Struthio camelus: one gene and its partners. The protein of the gene in region 1 binds, or shares a complex with, the protein of each later gene. Links are inferred from orthologs where the notes say so. Each region holds a gene or a part of one and is shown on either strand. Other genes may lie near its edges.

What was found.
Region 2: FNIP1 (region 1) and LAMTOR3 share a complex: the UniProt entries of both Homo sapiens proteins name them as parts of the lysosomal folliculin complex. The link is inferred for Struthio camelus from reciprocal best matches to the Homo sapiens genes FNIP1 and LAMTOR3.
Region 3: FNIP1 (region 1) and LAMTOR1 share a complex: the UniProt entries of both Homo sapiens proteins name them as parts of the lysosomal folliculin complex. The link is inferred for Struthio camelus from reciprocal best matches to the Homo sapiens genes FNIP1 and LAMTOR1.
Region 4: FNIP1 (region 1) and LAMTOR5 share a complex: the UniProt entries of both Homo sapiens proteins name them as parts of the lysosomal folliculin complex. The link is inferred for Struthio camelus from reciprocal best matches to the Homo sapiens genes FNIP1 and LAMTOR5.

What each region holds. Positions count from the first base shown.
Region 1 is NC_090954.1:2,847,831-2,854,927, reverse strand, and holds the start of FNIP1 (folliculin-interacting protein 1), read right to left. Parts: upstream 3,020-7,097; 5' UTR 2,894-3,019; coding exon 2,805-2,893; intron 1,003-2,804; exon of another isoform or gene 872-1,002; intron 1-871. UniProt on the Homo sapiens protein: Binding partner of the GTPase-activating protein FLCN: involved in the cellular response to amino acid availability by regulating the non-canonical mTORC1 signaling cascade controlling the MiT/TFE factors TFEB and TFE3.
Region 2 is NC_090945.1:27,874,999-27,882,408, reverse strand, and holds the start of LAMTOR3 (ragulator complex protein LAMTOR3), read right to left. Parts: upstream 3,021-7,410; 5' UTR 2,884-3,020; intron 2,780-2,883; 5' UTR 2,741-2,779; coding exon 2,732-2,740; intron 2,445-2,731; coding exon 2,410-2,444; intron 1,524-2,409; coding exon 1,465-1,523; intron 613-1,464; coding exon 479-612; intron 1-478. UniProt on the Homo sapiens protein: As part of the Ragulator complex it is involved in amino acid sensing and activation of mTORC1, a signaling complex promoting cell growth in response to growth factors, energy levels, and amino acids.
Region 3 is NC_090942.1:224,068,224-224,075,096, reverse strand, and holds the start of LAMTOR1 (ragulator complex protein LAMTOR1), read right to left. Parts: upstream 3,009-6,873; 5' UTR 2,875-3,008; coding exon 2,833-2,874; intron 1-2,832. UniProt on the Homo sapiens protein: Key component of the Ragulator complex, a multiprotein complex involved in amino acid sensing and activation of mTORC1, a signaling complex promoting cell growth in response to growth factors, energy levels, and amino acids.
Region 4 is NC_090965.1:4,483,358-4,490,965, forward strand, and holds LAMTOR5 (ragulator complex protein LAMTOR5), read right to left. Parts: upstream 2,690-7,608; 5' UTR 2,589-2,689; coding exon 2,554-2,588; intron 2,442-2,553; coding exon 2,380-2,441; intron 1,475-2,379; coding exon 1,357-1,474; intron 880-1,356; coding exon 819-879; 3' UTR 506-818; downstream 1-505. Other genes in the region: PROK1 (prokineticin-1), read left to right, coding at 4,830-4,919, 5,918-6,043, 7,511-7,608. UniProt on the Homo sapiens protein: As part of the Ragulator complex it is involved in amino acid sensing and activation of mTORC1, a signaling complex promoting cell growth in response to growth factors, energy levels, and amino acids.

The DNA of each region.
Region 1 (7,097 bases):
AACGTAATATATATTCATAGTCAAAAAAAAGAACCAAAATCACCCTTAAGTGTTCTGTTGTGCTGATGTCATTTCCAGAGCAGTTGAGCTTTTGCCTCTAAATACGTTAACCTCCAAACATATTAAGTGAATTCATGTATTTTTAATGGTTGTTCCACCTAGTCTCCTCAGTTAAGAGTACCAGGTTTTCAAAGTGAAGACAATCAGAAATACAGTGTTCAGAATAGTTGGAAAAGGTTCTGCTTTTTAGAATATAAATAATAGCCTGCCAGTTGTCCTCAGTTAAGAGCTGAAATACTAACAAGCAGTATATCTTGTGTGATTTCCTAAGACAGCTTCTGTAAAGTAAACTGCTCATATATAGAAAAACTTGACAAACTGGGACATTACCAAATACTGGCAGATGATAACAACAATACACAAACATAACTTTGTATCTCTGAAATTGATGAGACTGTTGCCTTCAGGTTTACCTAAAACACAGGAAGAGACTAAAAATCCAGAATGCTTGTTTCCCACCTCTAAAAACCCAGCTGTAGCAAATAAGGGTCTTTATTTTGCACATTATCCAAAAGTTTCAGCAGTATCCGATAAGATCATACATAGGGAGGATTAACTAAAGACCTATCCCCATTTGGAAAATGAAATAAGTTCAGCAACAGTTAATCATTTGTAATGGTCTTAAAAATAATACTTGAGTCTTGCAAATAAGAACCGTCAGCATCCTCTTTGGATTCTATACAAATGAAACAGGACAGCGTTTTGGAGGAAGGTAGGAGCAGACAGAGCGTCATATCATTTGGAAAGATCACTTGCTGCCTGGCACAGTGATCTACATTAAGAGGAAGAAGAGACATTGGAGAGTACTCACTTTCACTTCTTTCAACACAGGTGTGATCCCCACATTTCTGCCCCAGGGTCTGCATTGCAGCTGTTAAATTAACCACCAGTCTCCATACAAGTTCATCATTGAGAAGCGTCTTGGCAGAGTGAGAAATGCACAGCAATTACACAGAACAGCCCCGGCACCCTTTCCCAGTCAAGTGGTCACATCCCTGTATTAAGCTAGCGTAGAAAATAAGACGACCGAGACACAATTTAAGAAGTTTTGCCTCATGAAACATATCATTCAAAAAGAGAAACAAACCCTTCAAGGTAAGTGACAGAGAAGTGTCTGAGCAGCTATAATCAGTTTCTTGCCCAGTGAAGTCTGGTTACCGCACTGGACTTAAGGTTGTGTCCAGCAGCGTTTTGTGACTGCGTAAGAACGCAAAAGATCCATCAATATTCTGTGAAATAGTGGCACTGAAAATACTGTGCTATTAACCACCTAAAACGTTTTCTGAGATCATATTAGTGCAGTTAAGGAAATATGCAATCATACACAATTAAGTCCATCAGTCAGATAATCTCCCTTTACAGAGCAACCCAAGGGCTGATCATTTGGCAACAAGTTTCAAGATACTGCAGGGGGGATTAAGACACTACCTTAGAAGCATTTCAAGAAGTGCGTATCTCTTGCTAACGAAGCATGGGAGGTTTTTCTGTTTTTTGGGGGTTTTGTTTTGCACTTAAGGTGCAATCTTCGCATGATTTTTCAGGTTACCTTTACACCGCTCCAGCCGACGACAGAAGTGCTGTTCAGCATCTAGATAACTATCGTACAGCCACAAAAACTACCCGTTTCTAAGCTAACCTTTAAGCGAAGCCCTAGGCCCTGACAGAGCGGGGGCTAAGGGAAACACAGCGCAGATCCACCCACGTCCCAAGGCAGGACCCGAAGCAGCTCCCCAGGCCGGGGCGCCCCGACCTCTGGGGCGTCCCGTCCCCTACGCCACCAACGCTCCCACCTTGGCGACGGGGCCGGCGCAGACCCCCCCCCCCCCGCTCCAACCCACCCCTCACCCAGGCTTTTAACAGGCAGGAAAGTCCTCCGGGAGCAAACAATATACAAATAAATAAAAGGCTCCCCCTTTTTCTGCCTGCCAACGTTGTGCTTGGCCCCTTTCGGGGGATCCAAGGCTTGTCGTGGTTATATCACGACGAATTTCACGAGTAACCCTACGCCTCTCTTGGCGGCTGCGAAAATTTCGCATTTTTCGCCTCTTCCCCCTATGCCCCCCCCCTTCCCCGCACGTTTTTACGGCTGCTCCCGCCTGCCTCTGCCAAGCGGAACGGCGTCTCTCCCGCCTCAGCCCCCGGGCCGCCCCGCGCATCGCGGCTGCACCGGGGTGGGGGGGGCAGCGGAGGGCCCCCCCCCCCTCGGGGCGCCGCTGCCCCTCGGCACCGGGCAAAACCGGCGGGGAGACGGCGGGGGAGCGGGACGGCGGCGCGGGGGAGCCCTCCGCTGAGGAGGCCGCCGCGGGGGGAGCCGTGAGGAGACGCCGCGCGGGGGGGGGGGGGGGGGAAGAGCCGTGAGGAGACGCCGCGCGGGGGGGGGGGGGGAAGAGCCGTGAGGAGACGCCGCGCGGGGGGGGGGGGGGGAAGAGCCGTGAGGAGACGCCGCGCGCGGCGGGGGGGGGGGGGGGGGGGGGGGAAGAGCCGTGAGGAGACGCCGCGCGCGGCGGGGGGAGGAAGCGCCGTGAGGGGGCAGCGCGCTGTGAGGAGGCGGCGCCGTCGTGAGGGGGCAGCGCGGCGACCGCCACAGCGGCCCGGGGCTCCCGGTCGCCCCGGAGCGGGGCGCTTGCGGAGGGGCGAAGCCGGGGGAGGGGGGCGCCGGCCTCCCGCCGTGGCCCCTTCGGGAAGTCGGCGGCAGAAGTTGGGGGGGGGGGGCGGCGGCGAAGGGGGCGGCCCCGCCCGCTCACCTGAAGACGCAGTCGTCCCGGGAGTCCCTGGCGGGCGAGATGAGCCCGTGCTTCTTGTTGAAGAGCTTCTGGAAGAGGGTGGGCGGCATGGTGGGGCGCCGCCGCCGCCGCTGGCCCCCGCCGCCGAGGCGCTGGGCTCCGCGCAGCGCCGTCCCCTCGCAGCGGCTAGTTCCGCCAGCCCGACTCCATTCGGTGTCACAGTCATATGACAGAAATTAGTCACTCGGCGCTGCCAGAAGGGGCGGGCCGGCGCGGCCGGGCCGGGCGGGGCGCTGCGCTGCGCGGGCCGCTGAGTGGCTGCGGCGCCGGCCCCGCCGGGGGGGGGAAGACGCGGAGCCCGCCGCCCCCCGACACGGCCACCCGCCCGCCAGCCTTAGTTTCCTTTCTCCCGGGGGAATTAAGAGCAGGGCAAGATGGGCAAAAAGGTCACGCTGCCGCCGCTCGCTCCTTGGCGCTGTAACTAACGCTTCGGCAGCTTTCACCTGCTGCTAACTGCAGCCTCGCCCGTAACCGTTTCTGCCCCAGACCCAGGAAATCCCGCTCCGGGCCCCTGTCCGCTGCCCTAGTCCCTGCCCCGGTGGCTCCGAGGGAGCCTCCCCCAGCCTCAGAGCGAAAGCCGAGGCGGCCCAGCTCGGACGCAACGCCCCGAGGCGGCCCTCCTTGCCGCCGCCCCGCTTGAAACTTCCCTCTGCCCCCCGGCATGCCCGGCCCCTGAGGCCAGAAGAAACAGAGAAGCAAGACGTACCCCCCCCCCCAGGACCCCCCCAAAAACAAAACACGGAACAACGTTGCTCTATTTTATAAAAAAAATGAAAAGGATCCACAGGTTCTGCAGAACGGTGTAGTAGTAAAATACTTAAAGAAATGAAATACTAGTTATAGCTACCATTCTCCCTCACTGTCTCTGAGACAAGGCACTATGCAGACAGAACGCTACTAGAAAGTTAGTTTTTAATTCATTTGACTAAATAAAAGTGAAGTCACTCAACTGCTTTCTCTGGAAAATGGGATTAAACTAAATTAAATTAATTTAAACTAGTTTAAGTAGATTCTTTTAAGAGGGATAATTTAGCATGTGTAACACATTTTATATATTATTTTATGTCATTTTAGATATATATATAAAAAAATAAAATTATACTTCACAATCAGCCAGCTGTAAGAACTTCTGTTTTGCAGCCATTAAAAGTTGAAGATAATTATGACAGAAAATAGGAATCAAAGTCCAGATGCATCTTTTTCCCTTGTTCTCTATGGAGGATAGGCCTGCCTGCTGTGGATAGATCTTTATGGATCAATCCTTTCACCAAGTAAAAGCTAGCTAGCTTCAAGGTGGGCATAAAAGTACAGTTTCAAATTTAAAAACAAACAAACAAAAAAAACCCGCATACTCATAAAACTGGGAATCCTACCAAATAGTAGAATTTTGGCCAGAAAATACAATTTCATAGTTGCAGTTTATAGTACTGAAGAAGATTTAGCCATCTCAAGTACATTAAAATTCAAGTTGATAGAGTCCACTTAAAACTGAATATTAATCTGCTCCAAAGCTCCTAATTTAAACAGCAAGTGCTTCTTATAGGCTTGATTAAGCTATCTTAATCAGGACAGTGGAGGGGAGGACAGACAGAGAAAAAGGGATAAATACAAATTTAATAGTCCATTTTCCTATAAAAAAAAATCTCCCTGTAGGCAAATCCTCACACCTAAGCAAAGAACGTTAATTTCTACTTATCTGTCTATTCAGTAAACATTGCCTTGGGCCCCAAACCTGTACTTTCAGCCTTTAGAGATTGTGAACCAACAGATAGAGCTATTTGCATACAAGGTCTTTACACTCCAATAGCTGGTACACATACCCCTAGAGTACTCCAGTGCATGAAGCAAAACATTTCTCAGTCCCTCCAAGCCCTTTAAGATCTCCTAAAAGTACGCTTCACATAACATTTTCAGTTATTTCTGTTAACAAAAAAAACTCTTAATAGCTTTATGTACAATACATACTCTAAATATGCAACTACAATACACATTTCCTAGTGATAAAGTATTAACACAGTTCTTGCATAGACTGGCTCATTTTAAGTGATTCCATTCAAATCATTAAGACTTCGTCATGTCTAGATTTGTGACACATCAGCCCTATTGACACTGACCAGACTTCTCTCCTGAATCACTGCACAAATAGGCGCTTCTGTACAACCCATTAAATGGCTGTGACCCATAACCTTTTCCCACTAATATGGAAAAGCCAACTTCCACTTGGAGTGAAATTTTATATGTAGTCATTCTTCAGCTTCAAACATGGGGAAAATGCCTACCCTCGGAAAAAAGCAGAACAAGAGTAGATATTGTTGTGGCTTCAAAACAAATAAAATTTCCTTCCCTGGGGCGGAGAACTAGCCTGGTAATTAATTATACTTTCTCTAAGAGTCAGATAAAAGCTGAAAATAAGAAGCAGTGCTTTCATAACTGAAGGGAAGGACAAGAGAGATCGTGGCTCATGATATTTCTGTCCTCCTATACGTTCCCATCACACTGAGGAAAACAAAGTAAATCTGGGGAATTTTCAGGCTGCTACCGCCAAGGCCACGTTTACAGACTATGCCTTTTAAGTCTTGTACTCCCCAGTGAATATGTCAGTATTAGTCTGTTTCTCATACAGAAACTATGAAACAGTTTGGGGCAAAATAAGTGTTTTTTCTAGGACTCCTAGAATAAAAGAGGTATCTACTGTAAGTGTATTCTGGATCGCCCTTTAAGTGTGAAATGTTACTTGAATAGTCATTGTAATCACAATTTCTTAGATACACAGCTTTAAGCAAAATTAAAAGTTAAGTCAAGGCACTAACCTCTATCACCTAGGGGCTCTAGATTCTTGCACGCTTAATTACTAGTGGCTTAGTATTTGTAGGAACAAGGATATTGGTAATTAGAAGCATTCCCAAGGGGACTCAAACGAGCTACTGGCAGAACTCACTCTACTAATGCTTAAAGGGAAAATAATTTAATGGCATCATTTTTAACCTTGAGCCATATGATATGTTTATACAATACTTGTTTATGGACTAAATCTAACAGCACATATTTGCATTTTACTCTACCCCAGAGCAATGGGAATAGGTTCAGGGTCTCAACTTTCACAGGTACTTCCAAATGTAGTCAAACTAATCAGAGTTTTGCATTTTGTTTTCTTGACATGCTCATTTTGGAAATTTGGAAATACATTCCAGGGCATGAAAATCCTAGCTCATAATATCGAGAAACAAACTCAAGCTTCAAGTGGTCTGGAAAGCAACACTATCTTTTTAAAACACGGAGAAGCTTCCTTTATTTCTAGGAGAGAATCTGAGTAAGGGTTGTTGTTAGTGAGAACATTCTAGGGATCCAAACTACTTTGGTCTGTAATATACGCAAGAGAGAAGACTATACTCTTGTCCGTGCTTTTTGTTGAGGCGTTCAGCACCCTTTTGAAGAATGACATTTATAGATTAACAACACACAGACTGAACTCGAAGCACTGGGAATCTAACCTATATGCCAAGTAGCATGAGCAATAACTTGAAAATCCAGAATGCCAATATCCAGCTCTCGAGATAGTTCAGGTACGTTAGGGGTTCCCCCGCCCCGCCCCTTTTATTCAGGTAAGGCACCTACTTGCTCTGCACAAGTCTTGAGGACACAATGACTACTCATCTTTCATTACCACATGGGCCTTCTGAGCCCTCCTCTCTGCTTATCCACAGGGCATCAAGCCAGCCTCTCTACCAAGAGGTTATATTGTATCGTAGCACAAATTAAGTGAAAAAAGGTGAGTACTTTGCCTGCAAGGCAAAGAAGATTCAATAGATAGTCACTGTTTCATTGGGGAGGTCCATCTGTACCTAAGCCTCAACTCTGCACTAGAAAATAAAGAGTTTATTAGGACTATTGATATGTGACATACATAAAGTGCAGTTCCAGGTTGTAATTTTAACAGAAACTTAAGCCAAAAGCATGAAGAGCTGCATCATGTTACTTTAGTGAGACATGCATTCTCTACTTGAAGTTTAAAAAAAAGGAAGTTGAAGGTAGCAGGAGGCAAGAAATGATGGGAAGTTAAAGATGACTGAAACAAGTACCCCAATAGCAGGGATTCTGGGGGTGCCTGAACACACGTGGGCTGAAGGAGAACCGTGTGGAAATAGGTGGGATTACAGAATAACCGAGATGAAATGGAAAGACAGTGATTGGGCACTGTATATGATGCTAGTGCTGATCATAAGATAGCTGTATTGGGATGATGGTAGGGTAAAG
Region 2 (7,410 bases), on another chromosome or scaffold:
TCTGTAAAAATTGAATGGGTATTTCAAAACTTTCTTTTCTTGAAGTCTTATTTGCAGCAAGATTAACTGTGAAGTAAGCTGGATGTGCTTATTTGAAGTTTTTTTTTTTTTTTTTTAATAGGTGTCTCTGATCATAAACACACAAGTATTCATTTGTACAAGAGAACGTTAACCCATCATAACAAGTTCTGGAGGCCATTTCAACAGCACCTGCAGCAAATTGCTGGTTACTATCTGCTCAGGAAAGCTCACCAGTTTCAATGAGTAAATCTTCTCAGGTTTGATAAACAGGAAAGTAGCTCAACAAATATCGCAAATGTTTAACTTAGCTAGCTTTAAGTAGCACCAGAAATAAAACATACATAAGTATTTTAATAGCAGCCTATTGGAAACCTACCACAGCTTAAACCACCTTCCCTCTCCTTTCTCAATGTAGGAATTGCTCTGGCCAGTAAGAACAAGCAATGCTGTTCCTCACCTGGTATGTATTGTAGTAACAGATGATGCTTTTGTTTTTTGAAAGTCCTAGTTTACTGCCCTGATCTGTTGCAAGGGCAAAGGTGGACAGAAAGCCAGGTCTAAGTGCATGTTCTGGAGCATTATCATTGGCAACTGAAACAAAACATGAACATTTTTTGTTTTTACATGGTATCTATGACCGCATCACAAATCCTCATTCAACTTGGTGCTGTTCCAAATGTAGATTTGGTGTACAAGATGCATTATTTGTCCCCCAGCACTTCTGCAACAACTAACTGCTATGGGGCAACCTTCAAAAGCAGTATATAGGTTAACATTCAGTAAACGACCTGTGGTCGTTACACCAGCATCCTTCCTTGCACTCCTAAGAAACACTTTTCCTTTATGGAGCACAGTCTGTGTTAGTGCTGCTTTGGTTCAGCATTCTCCACCAGCAAGCATTCATTTGCAGGAAGGCAGGTGAAGGTACGCAAAATCTGCTTGGCACTTAAGTACTTTGGGACGTAAATATTTTCAGGTACCTGAATCTTTGCATTCTTAAACTATTCTACCTACAACGTATAAACATCTTAAACAAGAACTGCAGAGACATGATACAAATGATAGTGCCAAAAAAGCAAACCGAGTCACATAAAACCTGTAAGTTGGATGCAAATTCTTCTGAGCACAGATCAGAAGGTATTCAAGGTATTATGCTAACTAAACATCACTAACTTCCCTCCTAGCACCTTATAACAACCTGCAAGTGATCTGAAGATACAAACACCTTATACCATTCCAACCATGTTCACTGATGATGCAAAAGAAGAAAAGTCCTGTGGACTACATCATCAGGAACATTGCATAAACATAGATAGATGAAAGGATTACACAATTAACTATTAAAGCAAAAATCTGATATTCACAGATAGCAGCTGTAAACACAAAAGTCTGTCATTCTTTTACCCACCCCTTTGCAGCACACAGTGAGAAGCTGAAGTTTACCTTTGATAACAGGCACACCATCTCTATCTGATACTACAATAGCATGAAGACCTTCAACACTGCAGAAAACAAAGAAAATACACCTTTTAAAATGAAGAATAATTAGTGACAAAGAGTTTTTTTTCTGCACAAACATGCAAGAAAGGGAAGAAAGCAATACGGAAAAAATTGCTGCAGTAAGCTCTGCCTATCATGAAAACACTACTCAACAGGAAGAGACTTGTAAAATACATACTGCTCAATAACCACGGTCTCTTGAAAGAATTAAAACAGTGAGTATAAAATAAAAATACTGAAGATGGTGTGGAACTTTCAGCAGCAGAAAGAGGAATGTTACTGTAAAAGTTTCATTAGCCAAGCAAGAGACTTGAGATATAGTATATAGTCAATAAGTGCCAGTTTCACTGTGTTTGTGCATGATCTCCTGACTGCAGCTGTTTAATGATACTAGTAACTTAAAATTACCCCAAACTGAGTTATCAAGGACTTGGAGACTGAGTCACCAGGAGTGTTTTTTTCCACTTCTCATTGAGAAGTGATAAAGCATACTGGGCTTCCTTTCAAACGCACAAGTACAAGGTTAAGCTGGTTTCATCTTAAGGTACTTCCAGCTCACTTACACAACAGAAAAGTACACTAACCTTCGGATTAACCATGTCTCTTTAACAGCAAAAGGGATTAGTAATTGACAGTTCTCTCGAGTCAGATACCGCACAGACATCCTCTGGCACAGTTTAAAAACAACTTAAACGTTTGACACTGGCAGGCTAGATAAGGATGCTTCCAAAAGCCACCGCATTGTATTACCTTCACTGGAGATCCGAAACAAAACAAAAAAAAAACACCAAAAACCCCACAAAACAGCACCCCCAAAAACCGCAAACGCACCACTTGCGAAACAGGACAGGCAGCCGGCACCCGAGCGCGGTGCGGTGCCCACGTTACCTTGGCAGCTTCTTGTAGAGAAACCTCTTCAGGTCCTGAAGGGAGAGACGGCCGTCAGGTTGCTCCTCAGAGAAAGCGCACGCAGAACAGCGCCGCAGCCGGCTCTGCCCGCTGCCGGCGGCTCCCCTTCCCCCCGCGACCGCCGCCAGCAGTCCGGCGGGTCCGGCCCCCCCCCCTCCCTCCCTCCCTCCCCGGCGGCGCGGGCCGGGCGGCGGCCGTTAACGGCTGCTCGCGCGCCCAACCGCCGCCCCAACGGCAGCACCCCCCGCGCGAGCGGGCCCGGCCGCGGCCCCAGCCCCCCCACCCCAAGGCTCGCACTTACGTCGGCCATGGCTCGGGGCCTCCCGGCGCTGCTGCCACCTCCGCGGCCCTGCGGGACAACGTACCAACGGTCACCAGCGCCGCGGCGGCCCCGGGAACGGCGGGTGGCCCGGGTTGGGGGGGTGGGGGGGGAAGGGGGGGGGCAGTGCTCACCTGCCTGCGCAGCCGCCACCGCCACTTCCCCTTTAAGCCGCTATCACGTGACGACGCGGCCGTCACAGCCCCGGAAGCGCTTCCCCGCCGCGGCAGCGCCAGATTCGTCCCGCTGGCAGGCGCCGAGCATGCGCGACCGCGGCGCGGCTACGGTGCGACGGCGGGGCCAAACGCGGCCGCGCCGGCGGCAGGAGCCCTGGGGGCGGCGGAGAGAAGAGACAGCGCGGGCGGCCTTTCACACCGAAAATAAGTTTATTTTGATGCCAGTCCCGTGTTACATCAGGTATATTACAAACCACACAAGTCTTTTAAAACCTCACTCGTGAGCTTCGACTGCGCATTGGCAAAATAAAGTCCGTTTCCTGCTGGGGGACCCCTTTCAGTGCAGCCCCTTTTGCCAGGCTCCCGCTAATATTTGATTTTTCTTTTTTTTTTTCCGGAGGTCTCCTGCACTGCAGTGCTCGTCTACGAGCCTGAGCAGCCCCTTGCTCCGGGTTTCATTCCGGGAACGTCCCCTGCTAGGGAAACACTTCGCTTACTGGAAAAATACACTTTTTTTTTTTTTTTTTAAAGTGAATCGACTCCAGAGCTGTCAAAGTTAGGTGGGCACTTTTCACGGCCAGTGGAAGCCCTGCTCTGTGCAAACTTACAGTAGCACAATATAAAACAATCACAAATTTGAGGTATTAGCTGGAAAAAATCTGTACACCTATACACATGCGCATGCACAGTATTCACAGTGGCCCCAAGACCAGCAAACCTTGGCATCTGAAAGAAACTATATCCTGACCAGGGAAAGTATACATGCAAAAAGCTTTAAAAAAAACCCACACACTTTGCATAATCCTTAATATAAGGATTTTTTTTTAAACCATGCTTAGAAGAAATCAAACACATTGGAACAAATTCCTGTTGTTAACAGTGACAATGAAACTAAGAAGGGAGTCTGAAATTTCCAATTTCCCCGTAAGGATTACAAAATTCACCTAAGAGATTACTGCAAGATTAGCAGCTACTTTTCACCAACCAGCACAAAAACTTAAAAGATAGGGTTTTTTGGTTTTTTGTTTTGTTTTGTTTTTTTGTTTGCTCCAGCAGCTTTTCCTCCCACGCTGCCTTTGCGCCTACAGCTGGCCGAGGCCTGCAGGACACGCAGGGCTGCTTGGCCGATTTGCCTATTTCACCATCTGGGCAGAAAAAGCATTTCTGTGGCACCAACAGAGGTAACCAGAGGGAGGGAACCTTGTGCTTTTCTGTGCCCCCCTGGGGCTCCGACCTGAACTGGGATCCCCCAGAGCCCCTCGGGCACAAGCTGTTTAATTCCATTTAGGACACCCAGGACAATTCCAGACAAGATGCTGTGCTAGTTTCAATGGCAGCGGAATAAAAACCTCAACAACTATTGTCTGCATTCAAATACTTCGGGAAGTTGAGCTATTTTCATAGGAATCGGATGTTTCTTCTCTTGCAGTCAACACAGAGCAAAACTAAGGGTTCTGTTTTTCCAGTAAGCACCACAGCTCATCTTCTAGGAAGATCGGGGGAAACAGCACAGTTTTGGAGAATTCCCCCCCTCGCATCTAAGTTAAAGGAACAAAAACTGAAATGTCCATTTCTGCCTAGTATAGTTATGCCTAGTTTCACTTTTCCAGTGAGGCTCATCTCCCATAAACATACCCATACTTTTGGATCTTGTCCCATGCACCTGCAGACTAACAATTTAACAAATTCAGGTGAGGAAACAAAGCAGATTCATCCACTAGATGCTCACTGTATAAAAACAGAAACTGTGTATCTATCTTAAAACTCGTGCTGTGTCAGAACCTAGGACCACGGTGGTGCATTTCAAAGAGTGTTCAACATATAACAGTGCTCCTTCTCTGAAGGAGAGCTGCTACACACTGAGCACGGCTGAGAATCTGAAGATTTTGTCTGGATGACAATACTGGAGCTCAGGAAAAAAAAAAAAAACTTGACTCAAACTTGCTAATGTTTCTGAACATATAAGTCTTGTGAGGTCAAAAAAAAAACCCAAATAACCAGATACAAGCCAATTTTGCAAGGCACAGAGGAAAAGTTCAGTAATAAAGGGCAGATTCCTTTGCATTTTGAGAATCTATGCATCTTTCTAAATACAAGACACGGCAATTTAAAAAGGGACTTAGTCACACTAGAGCAACACTTAAGGCAATCCCCATAAAATTCTCATATGTGAGCTCCTGGTAGTATTTTGAGAATGTTACATGCAAAAACCTTGATTCATTCATTTCTTAAGATATTCCTCACCATACAATAAAAATATTTAAAAATGCAACTGGGTTGTTAAAATTTGGCAGCATCATCCTAAGTGATTGATTCTACTTCCTTCTCTGTCACACTAAGTACTGACTGAAAGCTGTGCAAGAGCATCTATGAGATGACTCCTGCATTTTAAAGTTATCAGCAATCTCGTCTCCAGTCCCAGTGACAGCCTATGTATACACAGAGCCTGTGCTTGCAAACCCTGCCCTGAGAAATCCTGAAAAATCTGACAGTCAAGCTTAATTCTTGCCAGCTTGGGAAGTCTCAGCTATCCCAGAGAACAGATATATGGGGAGGAGGGTTTATAATGGCATATTTCTTTCCCATATTTATTACATTTGTACTATTTGCTCTGAAAAATATCTAGATCACCCTTCAAATATGGCACTGCTGACAATGTTTTACATTTGTTATGTGGTACCTTTTGTCCAGGCTCCCTAAAGTGGTTTACAAAGGTGCATGGGGAAAACAAAGCCCAGAGATGAGTGATGCTTGCAAGATTATAGTAAATCCGTAGCAAAACGGCGATACAGCACCAGGGCTTGCGGCTGCCAGTCATCATTAATCATCATGACCAAGCTTCCTCTGGCAAAACTGACTGCAGTCTATTGAACAGATCTAGACAACTAGGAAGCTAGTACTTTTTTAAAATTACAATTTCAGGAATTTGCATATTGACTGGATTTCCTCTAACAAAGCATTTGTTTGACCATCCGATATTGCTTTCTTCTGCTGTGTTTGAAAGATCTACACTAGGAAAGGATGATGACGATTCATGACATTTATGGAGCAGACAACCTTAAAAAATGTATTTTTGCCTGGCCACTTTAATCCTTGTATTGCACTCATTACAACAGCATATTAAAAATGTCCATGATTTACAGTTGCCTCTGCTGCCTATTTAAAAGCATCCATTACATTTTAGTGACTATGTATTTTTATATTTCTTTGAAACTTATAAAAGAATTGAGACTGTTTAAAAAAAAAAGTCAAAAATTCAAATTTAATCTCGTTTTCCCTAAACAGGTAGAGAACTTGCAGGCAAATGTTCATCAGATGGGAACAATGAACTTGCTCATGACTCAGGCTGCTCCATAAATAGAACAGATATCGATGTTATTTCAGCAGATGCAAATCACCTCCCTTTTTTCATTATGGTATGTCAGAATCGCACGCCAAGATTTTTTACTTCTTGAAAGACTTTCCTACTTGCTCTTCTAAAGGAGAAATCAAGAACCCATGTTTGTCCTGTTTTTAATTCTAGATTAGACTAAATCCAAAGAATAAGCAGTTAATTCTAAGCAGCTGGAGAAGCTGAGGGGTTTTTAAGTGAGGCTGTTCAAAATCACAGTTTTGTTTTTCCCTTTTCTTTCTAGTATCTTAACTGTATGAGTACTTAACCTTTTGAAGAAAGGTCATCTGAAAAGATTAAAGTACTCCACTCTCTTCAGTTAGCACCTTCCTCATAAAAGGATTCACTCTGAACTTTCCAGCAGATTCCTTCAGCAAACCTGGGAAGATGACGACATTTCTGAAGATAAAAACTTTAGACTCAGGAACAAAGTAACAACTAGGCGAGAGAAGCACCCACTAGAAACATTAACAGAATGTTTATAGGCCATATTTAAAGCAAATTAATATTTATGTTACAGGAAATAATATCATCCTTCTACATTCTGCATGCTACTGCATATTCAAACTCAGCAACTATTTAATCTGTTAAATGTGAAGTAGCATTTTTCCACCAGTTTAAACATATTAGCTGTTTCTTCTTTTAAAAGAGTTATTACAATAGATAATCCAAAGAAACCTAACAGCCTATGTCTCACTCGTAACCTACTGGGACGTCTACGTCGCTACAGGACACAGGCATTGCGTTATTCCGGTCTGCAGAAATACTAATAGCGATCTAACCAGCATAAACCTGCTCAGCAGCAGTTCATTTACCACCTCCTCAGATGAAGCAGAAGTAACTGCAGAGCAGACATAACCCATCAGATTATTATAAGCAGCTTTGCTAAGACCATCTCTTAACTTTGACTTCACTGTTCCAATATTTGACAAATGTGTTATACATCCATTTTACTCTGTTAACTAAAAAATCAACTGCAAGCTCAGACTCGTTTGTGAATCAAAAGGCCTGAGTACTTGCTAAAGCCTTCGAAACATTTTTTTTTCTATTAAGAACACACAGGAGTATCAATATGTACTCTGACAGTTTGTTTC
Region 3 (6,873 bases), on another chromosome or scaffold:
AAGCCCGCGCTACAAGCACCACCTGCAGGAACAAGCACCAAAGCCAGCCTCTCGGTTCGGTCAGCGCGATGCTGTCGCTCGGGACCAGCAGGTTAAGGCACAGCTGGCTGTTATTTGTGCACGTGGGATTTCTGAAGGCAGCACCCATCTCCTGAGAGCGCCATCGAGGGCGCCACACCGCCCCGAGCCCACGCACCAGCCCAGCGGCGACTGCCACCAGCCTGCGCTGGATTCGGGAGAAGGGCACCCAAGAGGATGGGGTCAGGTGAGGGGGGGAACCTGCAAACAGCTTTTACCGGAGAGGCCGGGCCTCAGCCCAAACAGTCCCCCGAGCCCTGCGCCCTGCTCCGACCACGTGACAAACATCATCAAGGCCAAACCTTTCCTCCGAAAACAAAAGTCCGGCCCATTTCCTATTGTGTGGAAGGAGGAAGCCGCGAGCCAGAGGGCCGCAGCAGATCCTCTGCCCCAGCCAGAGGCCGGCGAGGCCAAGGAACCAGAGGGACGAGTCCCAGCCGTGGCCTCCGTTTGCCTCGGAGGGCGCGTCGGAGCCCAGCCGCCGCGCAGCCCTCCCCACGGAGGGGCCCGGCGCCTGGCTGCAAGACCTGAGGGGTCGCGACACCTCTCCCGCAAGCCTTCCCCAAAAGCGGCTCCGCAGACCGAGCCCCAGCCCTGCCCAGGGCAGGCCACTCCCCCCCTTTCCCCGTCCCCCCGGCGCCAGGCGGAGGACGGCAGCGGCGCGCCGGCGTCACCCGCAAGAGCATGGCAAGAGCCCCGAAATCCCGCAGGGCCTCTCCTCAGCCCCTTCCCTAAACACCCTCGCCCCACCGGCGCCCTAACGAACCCCCCCCGCCTGCTGCCCCATTGACACCCCTCCTGCCCCAGCGCTCAGCCCCCCGGGCCCCCCCCAGCTCTCCGCCCCACTGCCGCTCCCCCCCACCCAGGCCCACCGAGCAGCACCCCACCTTCACGCCAGCACCCCCTCCGCTGTCACCCCACTGATGCCCCCCAACGTGCCCCTTCCCCCAAGGCCCCCCCTCACCGGCCTCCCTCCCCCGCCCAGGCTCACTAACTGGCCGGCCTCCCCCCATCCCTCCCGCCACCCCCGCCCCACTGCCCCCGTGTCCCCCCGCCCCACTGTCACCCCGGCTCCCTTCCCCCCACATCCTGCCCCACTGTCACTCCAGCTCCCCCCCACCTCACTGTCCCCCCGCCCCACTGTCGCCCCAGCTCTCCCCTACATCCCCCTGCCCCACTGTCACCCCAGCTCCCCCCCTACATCCCCCTGCCCCACTGTCACCCCAGCTCCCTTCCCCCCACATCCTGCCCCACTGTTGCCCCAGCTCCCCCCCTACATCCCCCTGCCCCACTGTCACCCCGGCTCCTTTCCCCCCACATCCTGCCCCACTGCCACCCTAACTCCCCCCCCATCACCCCACCCCACTGTCCCCCTGCCCCACTGCCCCCCCAGCTCCCCCCTACATCCCCCTGCCCCACTGCCCCCCCAGCTCCCCTCCCCCCACTGCCCCCCCTTGCCCTCCCCCTCACACAGCCCATACCCCCCCATGGCACCTTCCCCCAGCCCCCTGGCTCCCTGTCACACCTAGCTCCCCCCACATCCCATTGCCCCACTGTCACCCCCCAGCTCCCCCCCCAAACACACCCCCAGCACCACTGCCACCCCCAGCTCCCCTCCCCACACCCCACTGTTATCCATGTCCCCCTGCCCCACCGCCACCCCAAGTGCTCTCCCCCAGGCCCCTGCCCCACTGTCACCCCCAGCTCCCCTCCCCCTCACACACCCCACATCCACCCCCATGGTACCTTCCCTCAGGCCCCGCCCCACTGTCACCCCCCCAGCCCCCCTTCCCCCCCGCCCCACTGTCACCCCCCAGCCCCCCCGCCCTACTGTCACCCCCCCCAGCTCCTGCCCCAGTCACCCCCTGACCTCCCCTCGCCCTACTGCCACCCTCAGCTCGCCGCCCCACTGACACCCCAGCTCCCCTCCTCCCACATCCCCCCACCTGTCACCACCTGACCTCCCCTCTCCCCTGCCCCACTGCCATCTCCACCTCTCCCGCCCCACTGTCACCCCCCAGCTCCCCTCCCGCCCCACTGTCACTCCCCAGCTCCCCTCCCCCCTGCCCCACTGCCATCCCCACCTCTCCCGCCCCACTGTCACTCCCCAGCTCCCCTCCCCCCTGCCCCACTGCCATCCCCACCTCTCCCGCCCCACTGTCACTCCCCAGCTCCCCTCCCCCCTGCCCCACTGCCATCCCCACCTCTCCCGCCCCACTGTCACCCCAGCTCCCCCCTCCCCCCACATCCCCCCACCCCACTGTCACCCCCAGCTCCCCTCCCCCCCGCCCCACTGCCATCCCCACCTCTCCCGCCCCACTGTCACCCCCCAGCTCCCCTCCCCCACCTCTCCCGCCCCACTGTCACCCCCCAGCTCCCCTCCCCCACCTCTCCCGCCCCACTGTCACCCCCCAGCTCCCCTCCCCCACCTCTCCCGCCCCACTGCCACCCCCCAGCTCCCCTCCCCCACCTCTCCCGCCCCACTGCCACCCCCCAGCTCCCCTCCCCCACCTCTCCCGCCCCACTGCCACCCCCCAGCTCCCCTCCCCCCCGCCCCACTGCCATCCCCACCTCTCCCGCCCCACTGACACCCCAGCTCCCCCCTCCCCCACCTCTCCCGCCCCACTGTCACCCCCCAGCTCCCCTCCCCCCCACTGACACCCCAGCTCCCCCCTCCCCACACCACCCCGCCCCACTGACACCCCCTGCCCTCCCCCTCCCACACCCCACACCCCCCCGGCCCCCGCCCCGCACCTGGTCGGAGGCCTCGGCCTCGCTGCTGTAGCAGCAGCCCATGGCGAGGCGCAGCAGGGCCGGGCCGGGCGCGGCGCCGCTACGGTGTCCGGCAGGGGCCCTGCCGCCCCGGTCACGTGAGCGCGGCGGCCGCGCGCCAGCAGCGCGCGGAGGGGGCGGGGGCGGAGCCGCCTCCCTCCCTCCCCTCCTGCCGCTTCCGGCCTCGTGACCCGCCATCCCGGCCCAGCCGGCGTCACGTGGGCAGGCGGACCAATCCGAACGGGAGCACACCCCCCCCCCCCCCCCCCGCCGCAGCTAAAGGCGCGCCGTCACGTGCGGGGGAGCCAATCAGCACGCGAAGCGGAGAGCACGTGGCGGTGGGGGGGAGCTCCCCACCCCCCCAGCCGCCTGCTGCCGACACGTGACCGCCGCGGGCCGAGCTCGCGCGTGGGCGCCGTCACGTGGGGGGCCTGCGCCGGTCTCGCGCGGGCACCGTCACGTGGACGCCGCGGTCTTGCCGCTTTCCGGGTTGGCGTGGCGGGCTCGCGCGTGGGCGCTGCCACGGGGGGGTGACGGCACGGCACAGGCGCGTGCGTGGTGTCCCGGGAGGGCGCGCTGCACGCGCGCGCACAGTCACGGGGGTGCGAGTGTGGCACACGGGAACGCGCACTGTCCACGCCTGTTGCAGTGGGTGTGTGCTTTCGTGGGTGTGTGCGCGCGGGTCCGGGGTGTGTGCGTGGTCCCGGGGTGGGGTGAACTGCACATACGTGGCCCCCCCGCTGTGCATGGGCATGGGGGTGTCCCGTGGGGGTGTGCCACGCAGGGTTGTGGCCGGTCACATGGATGTGCACACCGCACGTGGGCGTGGGGGTGGGCACGTGGGTAGGCGCACGTGAGTGTGTGCGTGCGCTGCCCCCGTGTGCCTGGCTGTGTACGTGTGTGTGCATTGCACACGTGCCCCCCACAGCGCCAGGGCATGGGCCAACGTGGGGCCCATGCTCCTGGCTCCCAGTGCTTCCACTGCTCCCAGCACCCAGTGCTCCCAGTTGCTGGTGCTACCGGCACCCAGTGCTCCCAGTGCTTGGTGCTTCCAGCACTCCCAGCACCCAGTGCTCCTGGTGTCGGGTGCTCCCGGCACCCAGTGCTCCCAGGGCTTGGTGCTCCCAGCGCTCCCAGCACCCAGTGCTCCTGGTGTCGGGTGCTCCCGGCACCCAGTGCTCCCAGGGCTTGGTGCTCCCAGCGCTCCCAGCACCCAGTGCTCCTGGTGTCTGGTGCTCCCGGCACCCAGTGCTCCCAGTGCTTGGTGCTCCCAGCGCTCCCAGCACCCAGTGCTCCTGGTGTCGGGTGCTCCCGGCACCCAGTGCTCCCAGTGCTTGGTGCTTCCAGCACTCCCAGCACCCAGTGTTCCCAGTCCCTGGTGCTCTCGGCACTCAGTGCTCCCAGCGCTCCCAGCACCCAGTGCTCCTGGTGTCTGGTGCTCCTGGCACCCAGTGCTCCCAGTGCTTGGTGCTCCCAGCGCTCCCAGCACCCAGTGCTCCCAGTCCCTGGTGCTCTCGGCACTCAGTGCTCCCAGTGCTCCCAGCACCCAGTGCTCCTGGTGTCTGGTGCTCCCGGCACCCAGTGCTCCCAGTGCTTGGTGCTCCCAGCGCTCCCAGCACCCAGTGCTCCTGGTGTCTGGTGCTCCCGGCACCCAGTGCTCCCAGTGCTTGGTGCTCCCAGCACCCAGTGCTCCTGGTGTCTGGTGCTCCCGGCACCCAGTGCTCCCAGTGCTTGGTGCTCCCAGCGCTCCCAGCACCCAGTGCTCCTGGTGTCTGGTGCTCCCGGCACCCAGTGCTCCCAGTGCTTGGTGCTCCCAGCACCCAGTGCTCCTGGTGTCTGGTGCTCCCGGCACCCAGTGCTCCCAGTGCTTGGTGCTCCCAGCGCTCCCAGCACCCAGTGCTCCTGGTGTCGGGTGCTCCCGGCACCCAGTGCTCCCAGGGCTTGGTGCTCCCAGCACCCAGTGCTCCTGGTGTCTGGTGCTCCCGGCACCCAGTGCTCCCAGGGCTTGGTGCTCCCAGCGCTCCCAGCACCCAGTGCTCCTGGTGTCGGGTGCTCCCGGCACCCAGTGCTCCCAGGGCTTGGTGCTGCCTGCGCCCAGTGCTCCCAGTTCCTGCTGCTCCTGGTGCTCCCGGCACCCTGCACCCCGCACCGGGTGCCCCATGCCAGGCACACCGGCGTCCCCGGAGCCGCTGCAGCCGGGCCGTCGGGAGCGCCGGCGTCGCCATCCTGCCCTGCGCCGTCCCGCGGCGGCAGCTGCCAGCTGGGAATCGGCGCGGCGCCGGCGTGCCTGACGCCAGGCGGACGGGACGGCGCCAACCTGCGCCCTGCACAGCCCGGCGCGGCCGAGCGGCCTTCGGGTGCAGGCGGCCGTTGAGCAGCGCCCGCGCCGCCCGAATGCACGCAGGGCCGCTGGAGGGATGCGGGGATGAGGTGTCATTGGCACTGCTCTGCCTCCATGCCCCGGATCCTGCACCCATCCCTCAGCTCCTGCACCCATCCCTCGGCTCCTGCACCCATCCCTCAGCTCCTGCACCCATCCCCCAGCTCCTGCACCCATCCCCCGGCTCCTGCACCCATCCCCCAGCTCCTGCACCCATCCCTCGGCTCCTGCACCCATCCCTCGGCTCCTGCACCCATCCCCCAGCTCCTGCACCCATCCCTCCACCTCCTGCACCCATCCCCCGGCTCCTGCACCCATCCCCCGGCTCCTGCACCCATCCCTCCAGCTCCTGCACCCATCCCTCCACCTCCTGCACCCATCTCTCCCCAGGTGCAGCCTCCCCCCGCAGCCCCTGCGAGGGCCCCGGCTCCAGCTTCGCCCCAGCTCGGTAACCGGAGCCGGCGGCCGGCTGCGGCTAAGGTGACACCATCAATAATTGAGCGGGGAGCTGGGCTGCGCAGGGGCTGCCGGCCGGGCGCTGGCGAGCCTGGCCTGGGGCCGCGCGGCCCGGCCTGCCCGCCGCCCGGGACGGACAGGTAGGAGCCGTCCTGGCCCTGCCGGCCCGACGCAGCGCCTGCCCCGGCTGGGCCCTGCGGCCCCGGCGCGGGGTGGAGGCGCAGGGTGCAAGGGGCAGGGGCAGGGTACGGGGTGGGCAGTGCAGGGTGCGGGGTATGGGGTGCAGGGGGGGAGCTGCAGGGGCCAGGGTGCAGGGTGCGTGGTGGGGTGCAGGGGGCACGGTGGGGGGTGCAGGTTGCATGGTGGGGGGTGGGAGGTGCGGGGTGCAGGGTGGGGGGTGCAAGGGTGGAGTGTCGGGTGCAGGGGCCAGGGTGGGGGGGTGCAGGGTGGGGGGCAGAGGGTAGGGTGTGTGGGGTAGGGTGAGGGGTGCAGGGTGGGGGGGTGCATGGAGCAGGGTAGGGGGTGCAGGGTGGGGGGGTGCAGAGGGCAGGGTGTGTGGGGCAAGGTAGGGGTGCAGGGTGGGGGGGTGCATGGAGCAGGGTAGGGGGTGCAGGGTAGGGGGTTGCAGAGGGCAGGGTGTGTGGGGCAAGGTGGGGGTGCAAGGGCAGAGTGTTGGGTGCAGGGGGCAGGTTGGGGTTGCAGGGTTGGGGGTGCAGGGGGCAGGGTGGGGGGTGCGGGGGGCAGGGTACAAGCTGCAGGGTGGGCAGGGAAGGGTGCGGGGTGTCGCGTTCAAGCTGCAGGGTGCTGGCGGCAGGGAACCGGGCGCAGGGTGGGGGGCTCGGCGCAGGGCACGGGGGGGCGAGTTGTGGGGTGCACGGAGAAGGGCCCCGGGGTAGCAGGTTCCAGGTGCAGCGTGTGGGGTGCAGGGTGTCAGGTGTGGGGCACAGGTTTGGCAAAGCCGGGACGAGGGGGCGAGGGGCCCGCGGCATGTGCACACGTCCCCGTGGCGTGTGCATGTGTCCCCACGGTGTGCATGCATCCCTGCAGCACGTGCATGTGTCCCCGTGGCACGTGCGCATGTCCCCACGGCGTGTGCGTGTGTCCCTCTGGCACGTGCACACATCGCTGCAGCGTGTGCATGTGTCCCCGTGGCGGGCACATGTGTCTCTGCACTGTGTGCACGTGTC
Region 4 (7,608 bases), on another chromosome or scaffold:
AAAGCTGTAATCTCTGTTTCCCTCTCTTAAATACATAGGCAGAATTTGAGTTTACCAGTACTGCAAGGGGCAAAGGCTTCCTGCAGGATTGGTTCCCAGCAGCATTTGAAATGCTTGAATCTGTAAGGTGAAAACTGGCCTGGATTGGTGAAGGTGTAATCAACATCCAGTTCACGCAGAGCGGGGGCAGGCAGCACAGCCAGGGCAAACAAGTTTCAGTTTGAACTTCAATCCAAGGCATGGTAAGCAAGTAACCTTCATGCAGGAAGTTTAACCAGAGGAGGCTAAACATTTCCTAGAAAAAAATTCCTAGGAAAGTTTTTGTGCCTTTTCCACTGGAGGAGCCTCCCTTAATTCAACTCTTTATGCACTGCTCCATTTATCTAGAGAAATGCTGAGGAAGAAGGGTTTGGAGGAGCTACCTCACCTGGCTCTGGAAACAGCTCCCTGACTTCTGTCAGACCAAGAGGCAACAGTTTTTGCAGCAGGAGCAGAGAGAAGCAAATGCAGGTTTTTGCAGGTCATTTATTGATTTCTCTAACAAATAAGGCCACACACACACACGCGCACACCTCGTATTGTCTGATCATTACACAAGCTTGGCCGGTGACCCACATTTCATTCTTGGCAGCATGACCGCTAGAATGCGAGTTGAAGAACCCGATAGCTGCACAGGAGCTGTTAAGTAAAGAGGAAGAGCCTTCAGGCCAGATTTGGTTCCTACAAGCACGTTCTGCATTGGAGCAGCAGAGGAGAGTGGTTGTCCAGTGAGGAAGAGCTGGTTTGGAGGTGGGAGCGCTGCACAGGTTCCCGAGAGGTCAGGATGCCAGCTTGTGCACTGCTACAGTGATGCTGTCGTGCTTCTGGATCATGATATTCCTAGAACAAAACAAAACAAAAAAACCGACAACAAAAAAGTAATGTTTGAGGCAGTTAAGCCAGCTGCAGTGATGACGAAGCTCTGACTCGGGTGGGAAAGCAGACAGCGGTATCATTTCGTGGCTGCAGCAACCCCCAGCTGTGTGCTAGACCTGTCCTTTGCCTACCACACTGGCAAAAACAGTGGCTGAGGCTACAGGATGGGCTTAATTATCCATGTAGATGCCAAGTGGGGAAGAAGCATAGAGCTGGAGTAGCCACCAGCCTCTGAGAGGCTTCCTGCTGCTTCTCCAGTTCCTGCTACTGGAGATCCCATTAAACTACTGCTTTCATGTGCCTGTGTCGGCATCTAGGCTGAGATGGGGCTTCCTCCGTGTCTGCCAGTTCAGCTTGAGAGGAGGAAAGTCTCCAAGGCTGAAGCGAAAGGCAAAGGGAGAGAAAAGCAGCGCGGCGGATGCGCCAGGCCCGGCCGCTCACCCGCTGTCCGACTCCAGGCACACCACGGGCGTATCGGTCGGGTCGGAGGTGAGCTTGGCTGCCTGCTGGGCGAGGACGGAGATGACGCCGGCGTGCTCGTCGGAGAGCGTGCCTCGGCCTACGGGACGGCGGAGAGGCCGGGTGAAGCCGCGCTCGCCGTGACGGTGCTGTGGGGCTGCTCCAGCCCTTCGCCTTTGCCGCCCTCCCTGGGCCTCATGTCCCAAAATGTGTGTGTGTGGGGGGGGAGACTTCAGTGGGGCAGGGCCTGGGTGGGAGGGCTTTGGCAGGACTGAGTGACCCCAAATGAGGGGAGCTGGGGCAGGACTGGGCCCGATGTCCCCAAATTGGTGGGGGGGGGGGGGAGAGGTCCAGCAGGGCAGGGCCTGTTGCCCCCAAACTGGGGAGGGGGGAGGCAGGGCCCGGTGCCCCTAAATTGGGGTGAGGGGGGGAGGCAGGGCCCGGTGCCCCCAAACCGGGGTGGGGAGGGGGAGGCAGGGCCCAGTGCCCCCCCCAAACCGGGGTGGGGAGGGAGGCAGGGCCCGGTACCCCCCCTAAAGCGGGGTGGGAGGGGGAGGCAGGGCCCGGTACCCCCCCTAAAGCGGGGTGGGAGGGGGAGGCAGGGCCCGGTGCCCCCCCAAACCGGGGTGGGGAGGGGGAGGCAGGGCCCGATGCCCCCCCAAACCGGGGTGGGGAGGGGGAGGCAGGGCCCGATGCCCCCAAACCGGGGTGGGGAGGGGAGGCAGGGCCCGGTGCCCCCAAACCGGGGTGGGGAGGGGAGGCAGGGCCCGGTGCCCCCCCCAAACCGGGGTGGGGAGGGGGAGGCAGGGCCCGGTGCCCCCAAACCGGGGTGGGGGGGAGAGGCAGGGCCCAGTGCCCCCCCCAAACCGGGGTGGGGAGGGAGGCAGGGCCCGGTGCCCCCCAAACCGGGGTGGGGAGGGGGAGGCAGGGCCCGGTGCCCCCCCAAACCGGGGTGGGGGGGAGAGGCAGGGCCCGGTGCCCCCACACGGGCGCTCCGCTACTTACACCCCAGGTTCAGGCCCTGCGAGTCGGTGCACAGGACGCCCACGACGGCCGGGCTCTTCATGCTGCGGGGGCAGACGGCGGTGGGTGAGCGGTCAGCGCAGCCCCGGTGCCTCCCTCCCCCCTCCCCCTCCCCAAAACATCCCCCTCCCCCGGTTCCCCCCCCCCCCGGCGCACGTGTCCTCCAGGTGCTGCTCCAAGCTCCCCTCCATGGCGCCCCGCCGCTTCCGCCCTGCCCCGCCGCTCCTGGCGGCGGCGTCGCTCACGTGACGCGCGCTGGCGGACGGCGGCTCCGCGGGGCCGAAAGGCGTCGCTACGCGAACGCGGGCGGCACTCGCTGCGCTGGCGGCGCGGGGCGGCGGCTCCCCCAAAACCGCGCCCGCTCTGGCCGGCACCTCCGGGGCCGAGAGCCTCCCGGCAGAGCCCTGCGCGACGCCAGGGACCAGCCACCATCCGAGGGAGGATGCGCTGCGGGGGCTCAGGGAGCCGCTCGGAGCCCCCTTAAAAAAGGGCAGAACAGCCTTTTCCCCCCAAATAATGAGTGTGGGTTTTTTTTTTGGGGGGGGGGCACAAACGATAGAGGGAGAAATCTCCCATCCGGATGCTGGCGGCTGCAGCACTGGGATAACTGGGAGCGCTGGTGCTGCCCGCATCTGGGGCTTTTGCAAGGGAGCCCTCCCAAAACACAGCCTCGCAGGTGGCGAGGAGGAGGAGGAGGAGGAGGAGGAAGATTTACAACCAGCGCGTCCGCATTGCTAATAAGGCACCGGCTGGAGCCGCTTTGGCCGCCGCCGCTCGCTGCCTCTCGGCTTGTCAGGGCGGAAAATTGAAACGTTATTGATGGGAGAGGCGAAGCCCAGAAATATCCATTTTTCTCCTGGGGGAGCTGCAAAGGGGTCCGGCGGCGGCAGCCGGGCTCCGCGCGGCCCTGCTCGCCGGGAGCCCGCTTTTGGCCCTAGCCTTTCCCAAGGCGGCGGGGGGTTTCCACCTTGGGAAACGACGCGGAGCAAAAAGGCACGTAGCCACCGGGCTCTGCGTCTTCTCTGCCCCGCGGGGACCTTTGCAAGGAAATGGGCCCAAACCAGCAGGTTTCAGGCCATTCCCTGCCCTGAGACTTCAGTGTTTCTGGCTCAACAGGGGCAATTTAGGGGGTTGGGAGTAATTAATCCAAGAGCGGGTGGACGAGACCTTACCGAAGCGGTAGGACCCGTCAGAACAGCTGCCGCTTCAGAAGAATCGCTCTTCGCCAGCGGAGAAAATTGCCCGGCTATTTTTAGTGTGCCAGCTAATTAAATATATAGACAATTTAGCATCTCACGGAGAGGCTCTCCAGGAGAAATTCTGCCGGCAGCAGAAAAGCCCGAATAAACCCCTCGGGGTCAGAGCGTCACCCCGGGGCTGCTGAGGCCGGTGGCTGGATTTCATTCACGTCCCCAAATCGGCGATGGCAGCCGCTGTTTTTTCAGCGCTTCAGGTTTTGTGGGCGCTCAGCCTGGCGCCCACTTAAATATGAAGCGGCTCCTATTGGCAGCCCTTTTTATTTTAATGTGGGTCTTGACGTGACTCAGTTTCCTCTCCTGGTTTGCTTCTCCTGGGGAACGGACAGAGGGGGCTGAATTCATTAATGCTCACGGGCAGCCTGGATGCTGCGGTGATGGTACCCAATGGCTTGAGGGAGGTGAGGGGGGGACCTTGCTGCGGCCTTGCCAGCAAAAGGTTTTCCCACCGTGGGAAAAAAGTTTTCCCACCAGAAATGCAGCCCAGGTTGCATTCAGCTTGATTCGACACGATTTTGCTGAACAAAAGCCAAAGAGAAACACCGAGGACGGAGAGCGAGGAACAAAAATCAGCGCAAAAAGCCACCGGGCTGCAACGGCACAGCGTCCATCGGGAAGGAGGGGTTTCTAACCCTTTGCACGAACACTGGGGAAATTTTGATGCTCTTTTTAAACAAAACCCCCTTTTTTCAGGTAGGAGAAGGCGCTGAGAGAGCCACCCTGAGTTTCACGGGCCGCTGCGGGAGGGCAGGGTATTTATCACAGGCCACCACTTTATTCCATGCTGTGCACCATGATCTGGGAAGTCCCAGGCTCATTTTTTTTGTCACGTCTTTGGCTTTGGCTGAATAGTCAAAAATTCTTAGTTGAATTCTTAAGTACGTCAGGCAGGGATAAATGTATGTGTCTATAAGTATGCTTGAAAAATCCAGTTGTGTTGGCTTAACTGAAAAATAAGCCCAGGTGACTGGTGATGTTTTATCCCCTGCTGCTTGGGTGATTTATTAATATTTCTTTCCTACCGTTAGCGAGTCAGGTCTCATCTGCTTCTTCTGAGCTCATCCGAAAAAAAAAAAAAATACCCAACTGGCATCCGGGGCAGACGGAGGGGCGTTATATAGGGCGCGAGGCACGGGCGCTCGCGGAGCTGGGTGCGCGGCCGAGCGCCTCGGCACCATGAGGAGGGTCCTGCAGGGCGCCTGCCGCCTGCTGCTGCTGCTGCTGCTGCTGCTGCCGCCGCTCCAGCGGTGCGCTGTCATCACCGGGGTGAGTCGGGGCCCGCCGCCCTGGGGGGCTTCGCGCGTCCTGGAAATCGGGCAGAGTTTGCGCCCGACCGCGGGAGCCGGCCCCGGCCTCCCCCCTCCCCGCCCCGGGCGAGTGCGGAGCAGTGATTTGTGAGTCCCTCTCTTTCTCCCCAAAATGCTCCTCATTTCTGATGTTTTACCTTAAAGCTGTCTTTTTTTTTTTAATTATTATTTTTAAAGCAAGGGACGCGGTGATTTTACCAGCACGCGAATTAACGATTGGCGGTTTGGTCCCAAATTCCAGGGGGGGCGACACCAGGAAAAGCCCGTGCCAGCCGTGAGCGATGCTGCTGAGAGCCGAGGGCTCTGTTTCTGGGGCAAGCTGTTGCTTTAACCTCGCTCTGCAATTCGTCCCCCAGTGCTGCCGAAAGTCAAACTGTCTGTTCAGAGATGTGGAATTAACTCCCTGCCTCTTTTAACCTCTCTTATTTGCAGTGAGCTCCCAAGAAAAAGGGATGGAAAAGTTAGCGACACCTTTCCCTGGTTGCTTCGGGCTTTTTTGCAGGAGTTTATTACTCGCTCTTTCGCTTTTCTTCCTTCAGCAAGTCCGTATTGTTCCTGAATATAAAGTCACTCCGAAGTCTGTTTTTTCTCAATGCCATGTCAGAGCTGGCTCTCGAGGAAATGGGAAAATCCAGGGGTGGAAAAGGGGTCCTGAGGGGCCATGAGCAACCCCAGCGCTGTGCCGGGAGCAAAACGAGCCCCGTGAGCACCGGTCCGGTGCTGGAGGTGCCCCATCAGCTCAGTTTTAGGTGCTTTGGGGCATGATGGCGAAATCTGGCAGTGTTTCCAGCCGCCTGTCGCACATACCCCTGCCGTGCCTCAGTTTCCCCCAGGACGGGCAGACATGCAAACCCCGATGACCAAAATGCACTCCAAAAAAGCTTGGGTGGGGGTTTCCGGAGCGGGGCGGGCGGAGGGGGGAAGGCGGCGGGCGACGGCTGTTCTGCCTCTCCGCAGGCCTGCGAGCGGGACCTGCAGTGCGGGAGCGGGACCTGCTGCGCCGTCAGCCTCTGGCTCCGGGGCCTGCGGATGTGCACGCCGCTGGGACAGGCGGGCGACGAGTGCCACCCCGCCAGCCACAAGGTACCGCCGCCGGGGTCTGCCTCGGGCCGGGACTCGCCCCGCCGGTGGCACCCAGCCGGGCGCCGGGGCTGCTCTCCGGCGCGGGAGAAGAGCGTGGGAAGATCCCTGGGTTGATCCCGGACGGAGGAGGGATGGGGCGCCTGGGACGGGGATGGGATGGATGAAGCCGCCGGCAGCGTTTTGGCCGGCGGCGGAGGGCTGGCGAGGCGGAAACGGCTCCGCGTAGCTGGGAAAAGACCACATCTCCCAGCAGACCCATCTCCCCCCCCCAGCTTGGGGTTCATCCAGGAGGGCAAATCCAAACCAAGCCAAAGCGGGTGCTTGTCGCAAAGCCTTGCGTTTGAAAGCTCCCTGCCTCGGCTTCCCCCCTCCCCGCGCCTGCCAAACTGCAGCGAGCACCTCGGGCGCCTAACAGCGATCTCTGGAGCACGTCGGCTTCAGCCGCATCCTCTAAAGCCCTGCAAAGCCCTGCCCGAAATCCTGCTGCTGCTCCGCGGTGGGCTGCACCCATCCATCAGCAGGTAGCTGGCAGCTCGGCACCCCGGAGATTGAGCTGTGCCTGCCATTTATTTCGAGAAGCGCGTGCCCCGGCGCTCCAAATCGACCCGCAAATGCTCTCTCGAGCCAGGAGAAGCCGAGTTAATGCCTCCGAGGCGGCCCAAGCGCGGCGATTTTGGCCGGCAAGAGGCACAAAACGCGGTTGGCTTATCCCGAAGCGCTGCTCCTGCCGTGGGTGTTCAGCCCACGCCACGGCGATCGATGTTGCCTGCCGGCAGCAAGGCTCAAGGCCGCTGCCGCTCCGACGCCGGCGGGAATCGGGATTTCATTTTGGACCCATCTCCGTTAAACCCCCAAGCAGAACCTAAGATAAATTCTCTGGGCTTAAATCGCCCTTGATATTTTTCTTGCCCAAAGGGAGAAGCGACCCGCCAGCACGAAATCTCAGCGTTTAACTGCAGCCCAGGAGGGAGGGAAGGGAGATGGGCAGACGGGTGGGTGGGTTGAGCAACGAGCGGCAAAGCCTTTCGCCGTCTCCCTGGAGTAAATCCTAGTTTTAAGGAGCTCAGCCGCGGAGTGGCCCGTGAGACACCCGCTGCCGTCAGCACCCCGGCGGGAATGTCCTCGCAAGCGGAGAAAAGCAGTTTTGCCACGTTTCGCCACGTGTTCCCGGGAGGGTTTCGTGCTGCCGCGGTGGGGTTCCTAGGGCTGCCGCGGCGAGGGCGCTCCCCAGGGTCGCGTCTCGGTCCGTCCGAGCACGGGGGGAAAAAAATCTCGCCTCCCCCCCATCTCTCCATCTCCCCCAGGGCTCCAGCATCAGGCGTTAAGCTGGGAAAAAAAAAAAAAAAACCTCTCATTTTTTGCCTGGCCGTGGGCTCACCGAAAGGTGCCGTGGGCTCCCGGCGGGTTGCAGCCGGGTGGACGGTCCTGGAGCCCTGACGCCGTCGGCTCTCCCGTTTCCTCCCGCAGGTGCCCTTTCTGGGGAAACGCCAGCACCACGCCTGCCCCTGTTTGCCCGACTTGACGTGCTCGAGGTTCGGCGACGGCCGACACCGCTGCTCGCTCGA